2 linked regions of the Mytilus edulis genome follow. The protein of the gene in region 2 purifies or fractionates together with the protein of the main gene of each other region. This does not show direct contact. Links are inferred from orthologs where the notes say so. Each region holds a gene or a part of one and is shown on either strand. Other genes may lie near its edges.

Region 1 (7,853 bases), on a different chromosome or scaffold from region 2:
TATCACATAAAAAAAATGATATTTTTATTGTATTCTATTTTCTTTTAAATATGAACACAACTTCTAAGAAAACTATTAATTTATATTAAAGTCAAATGCTATTTACTCTAAAAATGTTTTTAGTCTTATAATATCATTTGCATATTTTTTAATATTTCCCTTTTTACTAATTCTAGATGTTTTCATACTCCCTCTGAGATGACACCCTTAGAGTGAAATCAACAAGTAATTAAGAGAGGTGTCAATATCAATAGATTAATTAACAAATTATGTCTATCATGGTGTGAAAATTATTTCCAATTATATATCTCAAATAAACAAGGCTTTGTTTTTCATGTTATCAAAGGATTAACCCATATTTTTGTCTGACCTTTATCAATTCGATAATTCTCATGAGAGATCAAATAATTAAACTAATGCAATCTTCAAAAGATTTCTGATCTCTTCAAATAAATGCATAAAGAGGAAGTCCTAGGGGGAATTAAAATGGACTAAGAATATAACAAAAAGAGTTCTTTCACCTGTTATATAACTTTTCCTAAACCTGTGAAAAATAATAAAGTTCTTTGATCTATGCGATCTACAGTTTTAATTCTAACAGTTTTGGATTAACAAAACAAAACAAAAGATATTTATTAATAATTCTATGTTTAATTATACAAAAATACATTGACTTCATTATAAATTATGTATCTGGAATAAAATTCTAGAAAGACCTGTTCAATTTGTTGTTTTGGCATTTGACATCAAACTGTTCTATAAATAATGTTGAGTTTTTTTAAAATTTGCATTCAGTCAGTTTTCTTTGAGAAAATATATATTTTACTGATTGTTCTATGACAGATTTAACAAATTGATAAGTTCTTATTCAAGAGACTTTTTCTAATAACAACACAATTGCTCTTAACCTATGTATCAACTTACCTTTAAATTTATAATAGTTATAGTGTTCTCCACCAAAAAGAAAAGAGAATTTAGGATTGTCTTTTTGTTTCTGTTTTGTCATCTGTTCAAATTCGGGTCCATTTCGAGCAACAAAGCTTGCCAATTTGTCTATAATATTTTTTAATTCAAGTTCTGAAAGGAAAAAAATAGTCATTAAATAAAAATGTTAAAAACAATGGTATTGTTGAAAACATCTGGTAAAACTCCTCAACTTTAAAATCACAAAATGAAACGAAAGTTTTTCATCCTTTAGGAAACTGAGGATTATTAAAATTTCTTATGATTTATAGTTTCAATTAGAAGACATTTGAGACTTTGGTTAGAAGGTATTAAACATATTCCAATAATATTTGAAGATAAATGAGAATAGAAGCTGAATGAACTGTGACCAAACTAACAAAACTAAATTACACATTTCCAATAGATTAAAATAAAAAGGATGTGCAATGCCATTGTAATCTGAGAAAAATTCCATATACATTTTTACATGTACATGTATAAAGGGTTTAGGATCAGAGAAAAAAAATCCAAAACTGTACTGCAGTGTACTGATATAATAAAGTCCATGCCAAAACACAAGAAATTGAATTGCAATGAATATTTTACTGATATATAAATAACATTTATTAATTCATATAGACTGTAATTGATTAATTATTGAATTTTGCACTATAAATTTGTGTTTTCAGTGATTCAAAATATAGTTACAATTACAAGTGAGCACAAATAAACAAAATATTTTAAAACAAGAATGTGTCAATAGTACAAGGATGCCCCACTCACACTATCATTTTTTATGTTCAGTGGAATAAGAAATTGGGGTAAAAACTCTAATTTGGCATTAAAATTAGAAGGATCATATCATAGGGAACATTTGTACAAAGTTTCAAGTTGATTGAAGCAATTAATCCTTTATATTTGATATACATTTTGTAAGAAAGGAAAATAGGGAGACACACAAGTACATTATCTTTTGCGAAGGTTTAGGTGTCTCAATCTGACAAAAAGAAGAGTGTTTGCTTCAGTGTTCTATGTTTTAATTTATTGAAAGCTAAAGGATTCAAATTTTGTCAGTTAAGGATTATGGTCCCTTGTGTTGATTAAATGCTAAACATATGGAAATTTTATAGAAAATCCACAGCATTTATCCTTGTACCATCATATTTGGCAATGTCATGACTGAAAGATATAAGATTATTGCATGCAGTGACAGCATTGATTTCCTTAAAATGAGTTTATTAATGTAGCTATTGGTTAAAACAAATTAAAATATGGACCAAATCAAGTTCACCTTTTAGGGTACATTTGACTTTAGTGACTCGGACAGCACGAGGTATTTTGGAATTTGCAGGTTGATTAGAACTTTTTGTAAAAAATAAACACCAGCACATCATAGAAAAGCAAGTGCGTAATCTATGTTTCAAATTTTATAACAAAAATCTCTGTATTAAAGGCTGTGGATTTTCTATAAAAATCTTGGATTATTTGCCATAAAGTACTCTTTTTCTATTAAATGCAATGAAACAATAAATAATAATGCTTTGCATCAAGTTTCCCCTCTTTTATTCATTACATCTGTAGTTTTGATACAATTGAAGTTTGAAATATTCGTACAAAAATGGCTACAGAAGGGGTCATAAACCTTAATCATGTTATCTCCCCAAACATTGAAACAGTAAGCAAAATACTAAACTGACCATATCAATGATCACAACACATATACCTGACTAAGAAAAACCTCCATACTAACCATAAATGAACCCCAAAAAGGTCGAAAATTTAGACATGACAGCAACTTTAGACTAACAGTAACAAACCCTTGAGTAAGACAGTGTTTACCTTTTCAATATCATGATTTATTGAGAATTAAGATAAATACAATTGCACATATCAATATCTGTACAAACAAGCTATTTAACAAACAAAAATTTGCTTCTACAAAACTATACATAAACTTACCGTCAGGATGATTTGGTGGAATATCCATTTTTTTCTACACACAAAACGTGAGAAAAATAAATATTCAATGTTCAAAATTATCTCTCTTTAAATATGCTGAATTATGATTATTAAAACGTTTATAAGACTTAAATTTTACAACTTTTAAAAATCTTATTTTTATATATATATTTTTTGCGTAAGTTAACTTTTTCATTAACTTTTAAACAAAAAGTGATGCTTTCTAGAAATTAATTTCAAAAATTAATTTTCATTATTCTTCCGTAAATCTCCGACTGATTGTTTTGAGAAAATGGTGACAGCGGCGGGAGGATGCTTGAAAGTTCTAATACAAAAAGCGTCATGATAGAAGTAAGTTGCATTGAGATACTAAGAAGGTTTCTTTTAATCATGAATAAAAGATTGATTTTGATTGATATCAAATGCTGTTATTGTATTTAACACCAGAAATTTAGAAATTTGCATTGTTTGTAGGTCACGCCATAGTAAACATGGCCGACATTGTTGTGAGACGGATGTAAACAAAATTGCGTGGAACTGCGTACGTAGACTGGGGTCACATATCGTTGAGTCAACCAGTCAACGTTGAGCCACGTAGCTGTGCTAGTATAAATAGCTTGGCTGACGTAAACTTTTTCAGTCTTGAATGTTTATTGAGAGTGTGTTGAAATGAAAGGGTGATCAAAATTATTCAGGTCTAATGACCATTTACCGGTTTAGAAATATTGGATTTTACAAATTTTGTCGGAATATAATCAGGAAATAATCAGTTTTATTTAAAAAGGAATTTTATCAGCATTTAAAATGATCGATGTAAGTAGAATTATTTTTTGCAATCATTTGTTCTTCCACAATTAAAAACATTGAATATTTTTGCAAAATATTGTTGACTTGGTCTTATTTTCTGAAATTTTACAATTTAATACTCTGGTGTTGCCTCAGGGTGTTTGCAATTATTTTCATGCATAATTCCAGTTCTTCCAGTAGATATTTTTTTTTGTTATTTACATCTATTGTTTATATTAAAATTTATATTTGTCACAAACTATTAACAGTTTTATAGATATTGTCTATTATGTTGATTTCAAATTTACTTTTAATTTCACTGTAATCTTTACATGAAGGCCATGGATATTGATTATGTATGAAATGTAAATATTTTGAAGATGACCCACTTCTTTGTTGACACAATTACATGTTAAGCATAACTGAGTTTTCTAAACAGTAAATGTTTATCAGAAAGCAAAACATTATCATGAATATAGATGATAATTAAATATTTAACTCTTAAAATTTGTCAGAGGTCTGGAATATTCTTAGGTATTTACTGATATTTTGGCGGATTGCCCAAATGGAAAATCCTAAACCATAGAATGACTTAATCAACTAGCATTCTGATTGGCTGGTTTAACAAAGCAGTTCTAATTTTAGATTCCTTAGCTCAACTACTTAAAATATACTTTACCAGTAAATTTGGCTTTTATAAATAAACTTTTATGATGCAACTGTTACTATTGCAATGATTTGGTGAAATCCATTTCATTTTGAAAAACCAATAGAGTAGGAATGGATTTGTGAATGTCTTGTCAGTATGGTGAAAGGGTTTACAACAGAGGAGTATGATTTTCAATGCTCAGTTGAAGAAGGTATTTTTGAAGTGTTTATTTCTGAACATGTAAATTGAACCTATTATCTGATTTTCATATTATATTGATGATTGGGATTTAGTTTGGTAGAACTTAAAGATATGAATGAAATTTTATTGTGAATGTATCATTTTATTTCAGATCGACCAAAAGTCAAAGTATTGCTCACAATCACCACCACGACCAGAAAGTTTAATGTTCGAAAGTATAATGACAAACTTGGATATGGAATTGGCAGACTCGGAAAACAACAACGGCCCATGCTCTATGAATATCAGAACAAGAAATAAAAAGAAAAAAAGGAGGGCTGCTGACAACTCTGTTAAAAAATTTGAAGGTAACTTTTTTATTTGTTTTCTTGCAGTTGAAGTGAGAAGGTTCATGGTATTTTTGGGAAAACACAACTTGAAAAGTTTAATAATATTTGTGGGTTAATTCAATGTGAAACACTAATGAAGATGTCATGACCTTTTAATAAGTTTTTATTATTGAACAATGTAATGATATTGTTCATTACTGTTTGTATATGTATTTATGGTATGAATCAATCATTTAATATTCTTCTTTTTAACAGATCTGTATACAGCAACTGGAGAAATTCTTGGAAATGGAGCATGTGCTGCTGTTAAAACCTACAAAAAAAACACAACGAACAAAGAATATGCTGTTAAGGTAATTTCAAAATATATATTTTTATTATCAATGAAACAAATAACACATTTTTGTGATGACCAGTGATAAGTAGAAACTATGAATTTTGTATAAATACAGTTGAATATTACAAAAATTAAAAATATGAATATAAATAAACAATACCTACATGTATCAAGAAAGTTAAAAATGTTATATGAAATCATTTTATTTTGCAGGTTATTGAAAAAGATTTTACCAGATCAAGAAATAAGGTTTTTAAAGAGATAGAGATTTTCAGTATTTGTCAAGGCCAGGATAATATTTTACAACTATTTGAATACTTTGAAGAAGAGGACAGATTTTATTTGGTATTTGAAAAGATGAAAGGCGGAACATTACTTGCCAATATTGAAAGAAGAGGCCACCTATGTGAGAGAGAGGCTGCACTTGTAGTCAAACAGATAGCCATAGCTTTGAACTTTCTTCACCAAAAAGGTAAATATATATATAAAAAAAATAATTATACTTCAGTGTGGAAGTGTCCTAGTTTTCCAGCATTTATCTTAAATTAATGTCTCTTAATAGATTGACATTTATTTGAAGAAAAAAAATGTTATTTTAGTTACTTTGTTGTAAAGATACCTATTGGCATAAAAAGCAAAGAAGAAAAAAAACCATACATTATACATTTTGCAGTAGGAGCATCAAATTTCATGATTGTTTTTAGCATATTCTGTATATAATGATAATCTACAAAGGAACATTTTTCCAAGCACAAATTAATATGATCTTATTTATTATTTTTTAAGGCATTGCACACAGAGATCTCAAACCAGATAATATTTTATGCGAGAGAACTGATGAAGTAGTCCCAATACGTATCTGTGACTTTGATTTGGCTAGTGGGGTACCAGGTAGCCAGACAGAAGACAATTGTACAACACCAGAACTTCTTACACCTGTAGGTTCTGTCGAGTACATGGCACCAGAAGTTGTTGATGCTTGGGTTGGAGAATCATTCTCATATGATAAGAAATGTGACCTGTGGAGCTTAGGAATTATATTGTAAGTTCTTTACTATTTTGGTTTTAAAAAAAAGAAAAAAATAGCAAAATTTTCAGGTGTTAATTTATCCAGATGAATCTTTTCAATGTGTTCCTTCGTAATTTTCTTGTTGAATAGCATAGACTCAAAACTTTCATTTACATAATTTAGAAAGATGATATTGATTAGTGCTTAAATATTGCTAAATAGTGAAATTCAAAATGAGTAACCTAGAAATGAATTTTGTGTTTCAGGTATATTATGTTATGTGGTTATCCTCCATTCTATGGACAATGTGGTGGTGACTGTGGCTGGGAAAGAGGTGAAGCCTGTCAGTCATGTCAAGAGACCTTGTTCACTAGAATTCAGGATGGCATGTTTGAATTCCCTGACAATGAATGGGGAGATGTATCCAACGATGTCAAAGATCTCATTCAGAAATTACTAGTCCGTGAACCCAGGAAGAGGCTGACAGCTTTGGAGGTTCTACAACATCCATGGATCACATGTCCTGCAGCACCTACCCCATTGGCTACTCCTGGTATTCTTACAAGGTATGCTTTATTTTACTACAAGTCGTGTACATTTCCATATTAAGAACTGTATGTTGGTGGGATGTAATAAAACGTAATTTCCTGTATACATCAGATAAAGTATGTGACCACTTGATGCTTTTCCTGTTTACATTGTTAACAATGTAATGTCTTGTTTTTTACACTATAACTGTTACATTAAATTGAGACGGAAATATGACTGTTGAAGCAAATAAATTTACACTAGTGTTTGATAAGCTTGAAATAAGCATCATTTCTTTAAAGTCTTACTTTGCATGACATTTAATTTTGTTTAAGATGAAAACATGAAAGCTTTTATCTGTTATACATTGGACTCTTATTTATATTGCAGAAACAACAGTACAAAAGATCTGGAATGTTTTGCTGGAGAAGCAGTCTCAATCAACAGAATGATGCAGCAACATCTTTTGATTTCGGAGCCTCCCAATTTCTTTATTGGTGGGAGGGACGATTTTGACTGTGATGCATATGAAAGTGGTGATGATGATGACAAGTTTAATATACCAAGTTTCAAACTGTCTCCACCAAGTTCAGGACTGGCTAAAAGACGTACAATGGCCAGGAAACCAAACAATTTAAGTGAAATTACTGAGGACAGTAGCGACAGTGGTTGTTCATTGCCAAGCTCTCATTCATCTAGTTGTGGCATAAGTATCTGAGACAAAGACCAAACTCATTTGATATCAGTTATTGTTCTGGTTGTGTTATTTTTTGAGTGCTTAACTTGACAGATTTTATACATGTATTGAATGTGTGTGCTATTTTGTATTTTGTCCATTGTAAGAATGTGTTGTGTATAAAAGTGTCGAGTATGGATGTAGGATTTGGTACATTATATATCATGTAAATACCACCTACAAAAAAAATAAAAACAACACGATCTTGTAGTGGAAATCCATTTTTATAAAGAAAGAAATTTTATTTTTCCACAATGATAAGTATGTCATGTTAATCTAAAATAAAGGGAGATAAATCCTATCAATACTTATTTCTATGTATGTTTGTGTATAGAAGATCAATAATATTTTGTTGAAAGGTTTAGTTTCAGGGA
Region 2 (7,231 bases):
TCTTAAAAATATGTACTATGTCACTACTTTAAAGAAAAAGTTGAGTCATACAACTATGCTTCAAACATGAGCGTAGTTAAAATTCTTGTGTCAGAAGTACCCACTTCAAAACAATAATTTCTATCAAATTAAAGTTATAAACAAATTCTTTAAATGACATGTAAAAATGTAGTGCTATTCAACCACACTATTTTGTTAACCAATACAATGAACACCTTTAGCAATAAGTCTATTGTTGCCCATAGCTATCATGGCTATTAAATGAATTTAGCTGATTACAGATTTTCTGCCAAAATTGTGATGAGTCCAAGGAGAAATCACAGTATTGTTTGACAAGGGGAAAAACAATTTAGAGAACCCGCCCAAAAAAATAACAAGATGGAAAAAGGTGAAAAGTTTTAAATACAAGTATAGCATGTACAAGTATAAGTATAGCATGTACAATGATGTACAGTACTTCTTTTGCCATTAATGATTTTTAATTGCAACATTTTTGTTGTGCAAATTGAAAAAAAAGCAGCTCTGGACTGATCTCCTTCTGGTATACAAACAGTTATTACAGTTTCAGCTTCATTTAATATTACGAACTGTTGCATGCGGGGAGTAATTTGATTAAACATGTTAAAAATATTCAAATTATAGTTAAACATAATTTGTTTTCTTCATACGATGTACATGTAACTTATGCTGGTTGATTCCAATCCTTCATGGTCAATAGACAGATTAAAATGCCCCTTTTTTCTGGGTCTCACTTATTAGTGACAACTAGCGTCAAGAAGCGACAAGAAGCGTTAAGAAGAAGTTTTAGCGACAAGAAGACTATTTAGCGAAGGAATAAATTGATATTTTTTTTTATTATATTGATAGATGAATAAACTAAACATTTGTGAGATGAAAGGGATTGTGTAGTCTATATTATTATATTGATAGATGAAGAAATTAAACATTTGTTAGGAAGAAAGGGATTGTGTAGGTTTTTTTTTTATTAAATATAAAGAATATGTTAAATATAATGTATGCACACGCTTTAAAAGGGAAATAAAAACAAAGATTTTCTCAACTTTTCTTTGATATATTGTTTCCTTTCTAACAGTATAATTCATTATTCTTGATCATGTTGATAGGAACAACATAAAATATGGCAGTAATAACAGTACACACAATGCAGAACATCACCTGAGAATAACAAGGCACGTGTTCCTTGTTTTATTGCTACAATAACACCTTCAACTTTGTACACGGTCAGACTATACAATTACATGCGCCCGAATACAATCATTGTAAATAGTGAACACCTGTTGAAAACTCAAGATTGTCATTATTTTCCTTTAATCTTCAATCAATATGCATAAGGCCTAAAAAAAAAAGATATGTGTTTCCGGTAACATCATTTTGAAAAATAGGGTCGGAATACTTCTTTTTTTTTTTTTTTTTTTTTTTTTGGACATCGTAAATGAAATCCGGAAAATTATCATGGTTTTTCCAAGTCCGGATCCGTAATTAGTTTCAAAAACCGGAAGTGTGCCATTTGCAATGTTTTTGAAGCACCTGCTGTGCAAATTTCTTGGATTTTAACCTATTTGGAATACCTTTTGACATTAATAAAATGTTTTACTGGCTTTCTATGCAAGTAGAAGCAAGAGAGAAAAAATATTATGTCATCTATCAGAATCCTGTGTCAAAAACGGGGTCGGTTGATACAATTTTTTTTTTTTTTTTTGAAGATCCAATAAAAAAGTTAGGGTCGGGGCTAAAAAACAGGGTCGGTCGGGTTACCGTAACATCGATTTTTTTTTTCTCGGCCTAAACATGATAAATATCGTTTAATGAGGCAATACACAAAATAAAATAATGAAAAATATTCACATTTTAATTTTCTTTTTCTCTCGTTTGATTTCACAATTTGTGTATGTATTTTCTGGACAAAGATGCACAAATAATGCATTTTGCAAGTTTATCATATATTGTACAAATAGAGTTTTAAAAACAAATTATAAGTTAAATATGTTATTGTTCTAAAACACTATACTGTTGTGCATAATAAATGATAAAATATCATGTAAATAAATGTTTGAATTTCTTTTCTATCAATTTTAACTTTCTTGTCGCTAAAATTGCTTTCTTTTGCATATTCTTTTAATATTTATTTGGGAATAAGTAATTTTAATAAAAAAAAAATTTGCTTTCTTGTCGTTTCATGTCCCTAAAATAATTCTTTTTGTCGCTAATTAGTGAGACCGTTTTTTCTTGGAACATGTGGAATAAAATGTGTTTATTCACAGTATGGTTGTGCGGTTGCGTTGGATAAAGTTGTTGCCACCACTTCATAAAAATTCCAGTTCATTCCCTTTGATGTCATTTTTGTTGTTAAATTGTTTATCTTTCACAGATTATGTTGATTTTTTGATTTTGTTATTTTTGATTTTTTGTTGCTAAATTAGTGTAAATTATAAATTTTATAGTCGACGCCCGGCGAATAATCTTCAATAATTGAAGGATCGCTAGAAACCAAAAGAAGAAGAAGAAGATCTTGTCTCAATTATTTCTTGATACCAACGGCAATTATGGTGACATTGATTAGGCTATATAATGTATTTACAGTTTTGACAAGACTTGTTTTATATAGACATTATACCCCTAAGCAGGTTTCATAAACACAGATTAATGTTTGAATTCTTGATTGCAGGATTTTTACTGTTATGTCGCAAAAAGACAATATTTTCCCAGACTATGTTTATCTGTTTATGATTATGCTTGAGTATGTGAAATTATATCAGAATGAGATCATGTGCAAGACAAGATAACGCTTTCATTTTATGACCAGTCCTTAAAGGTGGACAATACCAAGTGTGCTTTATAAATGAGGTATATGACATAAACTAGTCACCTTAACTGAACCAGGGGTAATTTTGTCATTTTTCAAACCCCAAGGTAAATTTTTCTCCGCCATTTTGGTTCCTCACATTGATGATAAATAAAATTCGGTACAATCTCGGAGTATTTTCCGGACATATCACCGACACGTGTTTCATCTTGATTCACTACTCTCTTTATTTTTTTTTTATAATTTCATGAGATATATTGATTATTAGAGTTTGCTCAATACTTCGTTTAAATCGAAAGAACACCAACGGGTTGATGACGTATTTTTGGCACATGCTTGGTTTAACAAGTTTATTTGTTTTTAATTAAAAATCTATTTTTCTAATTTCATAATTATTTTGCACTGTTTCTATATTTAATAATCATTGATAATGTCAGTTAAACTTCCAATTTTTATTTTTTATTTTTGGTATAACAAGATACAGGATATGCATGTAGGTATTTGTTAGAGTCAATGAGAATTTCTCTGGTGAGTGTGTCCCCGAAGCACTGAAGATCACTGAAGTACTGGTGCTGCAGACTATTGCGGTTCAGGTAATGTATGAGGGTTTGGATGGAATTAAATAATTAAAGAATAATACCCTTAAAAAATGAAGATTACAGAATAATGGGCAAAAAAAAATGAAGATTAGAGAAAAAAGGGGTTAATTTTTTGAAGGTTAGAGAAAAAAGGGGTTAATTTTTAAAGATTAGAGAAAAAAAGGGGTGAAAATTAAATGTTTACAGACCCTCATGTATTCCATATTCTTTAATAGTTTGCAGCAGAAAAATGAAAATTTGTAACGCTTCTTTGCAGCATCGAATTTGTCGTAATGTTTGTTCGTGTTTGCTTTGCTTAAATTAATAATTAGTATAACAGTAATATGGTATGAACATTTTGTTGTTGGTGCCGTGATTCCATTGAACATATTTAATCGTTTTTTAAGTCTTCTTTCTTGTAATGATGGCCAGTAAATATAAAATAGAAGAAGTGGTATGATTGCCAATGAGACAACTCTCCACAAGAGACCAAATGACCATGATGACATAGAAATTAACAAATAAGTTTGTTTGTAGCATATTTGTTACACTTTCAGTATATTGATATTTAGAGCATACATATATTATAGCTTGCTGCACAAGACGAGAGAGACCACTTAGCATATATATATTGTTGTGAATAAAAATCCAGTTAATATGGAGAAATACTACAGTGAACATTGAGTTTTGTTTATAAAGGTTATGCAAGCTTATATGAAAAACGGTTGTATATGTGAAAACTTCCATCTCTTTAAGTCGGATGATTATGACTAAATTTAGCTGTAGAATCTATGTACCAAATGAACTATGTACTAGTCTATCATAATTTGATTAATGTTAAAAAATCACAAATACTCCTTTAGATAAAGAAATACAAATGAACAACACAGTTAATAAAAAGAGACATAGCATCGATTCTTTTCGCTCCACACTGAGCTGCTAACATTTGGACGAATGACCCCATACACTGTAAAAACAGTGTTTAGATCCTAAACACTTATCTAAACACTTCTTCTGTGTACGTTTTGAAACGCGTTTAGCATCTAAACATGTTTAGATTTTAACAAGTGTTTAGATTTCAACAAGTGTTTAGATGTTATATGTTTAGAAATATATGGTGTTTAGACCTACCAACGGTTAGCCTACTAGTACTATGATTTCACAGGAACTTCTTGTGGTACAGCACTACAGGTTGAATAGTCCACACGGTATTGTAGAATATACAATGCACGTGTACATTTCTGCTAAATGTTCTTGCAATGAATTTTACCATGACTTGTCTATATCAGTAAATGACAACTGCGTCAATACAGAAATACTTACATAATAATATCATATTAGCTTGAAAACTTCAATAATGATAATAATAATATTAACAATAATAGGTTTACACATTTTATTCTTCCTGGAGACCAAAGAAAAGTTTGTAAACAATAGGACCAAGTTAAGAAAAGTCCGTAAACAATAAGACCAAGTTTTGAAAAGTCTGTAAACAATTAGACAAAGTTTAACCCTCCATTATTTTTTAAGGAAAAGCCTGTACCAAGTCAGGAATATGACTTTTTTTTTCGTTCCTTTTGATTGTTTATGTAGTCAAGTGTTTGATTTTTTATACGTTTTATGGACCTTCCACCTTTTTATACAACTTGGAGTCTGGTTCTTTTGTTTTTGTTTTTTTCTGATCTAGTCTTAAACATAACATACAATCTATTCAAATTATTTCAATAATTTATTTTTAAGTCTCACTAAATGCAAACAAAAAATAAAATTATAAAATTTGATGATTTTTATCCTCAACAAAACAGAAATTGTCAGTCCATCTCCTATCATACAGGAATTTTTCATTGCGGAACAATCTTCTTTTGAATGATAAAGGCTCTTGGTGTGCAGTTCCTTTTGGTTGTCAAGTGAACTTTTGTATCCTGAAATGAAAAAATGAAACCTTCATGTACATTTGTATGCAACAGTCACTTATTCTTAGATCATGTTTATTAAAATACATTAAACAAGCTTCTTGAAAAAGATTCTTACAAAAGAAAAATGCAAATTGTAGTTAAAAAGGCTATACTTTACACCTTGTACAAATTTAAACATCGAAAGACAAGCAAATCAAAGGGAACAATATATAGAGCAAACAAGCATGCAAGTTTTTTTTTATATTCTCTTATCCTATAAAACAAAATCCTTGATTTCTGAGAACTAAAGCCTGTTTTTCCTATTTTTTTAATTTATTTATTATGAATATATTTTTTTTTAAATTAATTGCCCATTTTTTTACCTATTCAACAGGATAAATATTAGAGGATGATTTAACCTCCATTTTTCAATCATATTATATTTCTATTGGCAACTTAATAATATACTTATATATTTTTACTTACATCTGCTCTTGAAATTAAGTCATCCTTTTCTTTCTTCGTTGCTTTCTTTCTGATCTGTTCTTCAATTTGATCTATAATATGGATTAATTCTAGCTCTTTTCATTCCCACTACATGTACAGTGTCCCAGTCCTATAAATGCATACATACAAATAATTATTATAGGTTTATATGAAAAAGAACAACTTGACAGTTTATTTCTGACATTGGAGTTTGAATGTCAGTTTATTTTCGAGTAATGAGTTTGAATGTCCTTTTGGATGTTTGGTTCTTTGTTTCTCTTTGACAAATGAAGTGAAACTATAATTTCAGTGTTTGTGTAAAGGATGTTGCAATAAGGGCCACTGTGATCTTATTCCTTGCAAAGTTAAAATATTTGAAACTATGATTGTATGACATTATCATATGTACAGTGTCAGTGACAGTTTAGACTATTCAATCTCATTTTAAATTTCTGAATTAGCTCATTCTTATTTTATGCTTGGTCCCTCCGACTGATTATGCGTGTATATTCATACCACAATAGTGAACTTGAAATAGCATAGGTTAACAGTTTAACGAACATATGCCTTTTATTAGTCTGTTAAATTATGGTTTGTGCCCCTCCCCCTTTTTACGAAATCTGGATCTGCTTACCTTCCGCTGCTGTAATAACTGTTAAGATGGCTTTTGATTCCGTCAATATTCTAATATGAAGTTCTGTATCTGTTGCATCGCCAATAGATATATATACTTGATAGATGTGATCCATTGTTTTAAAATGTTGTTTGTCTTTGGCGGGTCCGAAGGCGTCCGTATCAAATTACCACGATAGATAACTCTGTTCGTTAATTAATATAAGATCATATTCGGACAACGACTCCGGAAATTAGAGAAAATATATTCACTCATATCTTCCTTATAAATACTATAAAAGATTATTTCATATGTCCCTGGTATAAACAACTAATTGCTCAACTTATAAAAAAACCCAAAGTAATTCAATAATCTTACAACACAAAAAAGGGAAACTCACTTGGGGAAGATGATATGATTTGTTCTCATAAATAAAGAAGCTCCGCAAACTTGGGACTGAAGTTTGAAAATAATTTTAATTTCAAGACAGCCACGATATCATAGTTTCACAGAATATGCTGGAATATGTAGGAACATCGGGTAAAAAGGTGAAACCAGTACTGAAATATTGTAAAGTGTTTAGGTGTTTAGAAAAGTGTTTCAGAAGTGTTTAGATGCCATTTAATGTTTAGCTTAATGATAACATTCACTGATAATAACCCTGCAACACGTTTAAATTCTAAACACGTTTAGGTTTTTATGTGTTTAGATAAAAATCTGTTTAGATCCTAAACGCTTTCCTAAACACGTTTAGACCTAAACATGTTGTAGATCCGTTTCAAATCTAAACGCTGTTTTTACAGTGTAGTTTAAGAGATTTTTTTTTAATCAGTTT

The links.
Region 1: the proteins of U2 snRNP-associated SURP motif-containing protein-like (region 2) and calcium homeostasis endoplasmic reticulum protein-like purify together in Homo sapiens (affinity purification with mass spectrometry; 4 studies listed by BioGRID and IntAct, with this or other methods). This does not show direct contact. The link is inferred for Mytilus edulis from reciprocal best matches to the Homo sapiens genes U2SURP and CHERP.

What each region holds. Positions count from the first base shown.
Region 1 is NC_092344.1:19,672,800-19,680,652, forward strand, and holds the start of calcium homeostasis endoplasmic reticulum protein-like, read right to left. Parts: upstream 3,022-7,853; 5' UTR 2,933-3,021; coding exon 2,905-2,932; intron 1,078-2,904; coding exon 925-1,077; intron 1-924. Other genes in the region: MAP kinase-interacting serine/threonine-protein kinase 1-like, read left to right, coding at 3,217-3,255, 4,692-4,887, 5,125-5,222, 5,420-5,678, 5,993-6,248, 6,482-6,781, 7,134-7,461. UniProt on the Homo sapiens protein: Involved in calcium homeostasis, growth and proliferation.
Region 2 is NC_092346.1:87,102,722-87,109,952, forward strand, and holds the start of U2 snRNP-associated SURP motif-containing protein-like, read right to left. Parts: upstream 3,002-7,231; 5' UTR 2,951-3,001; coding exon 2,888-2,950; intron 1-2,887.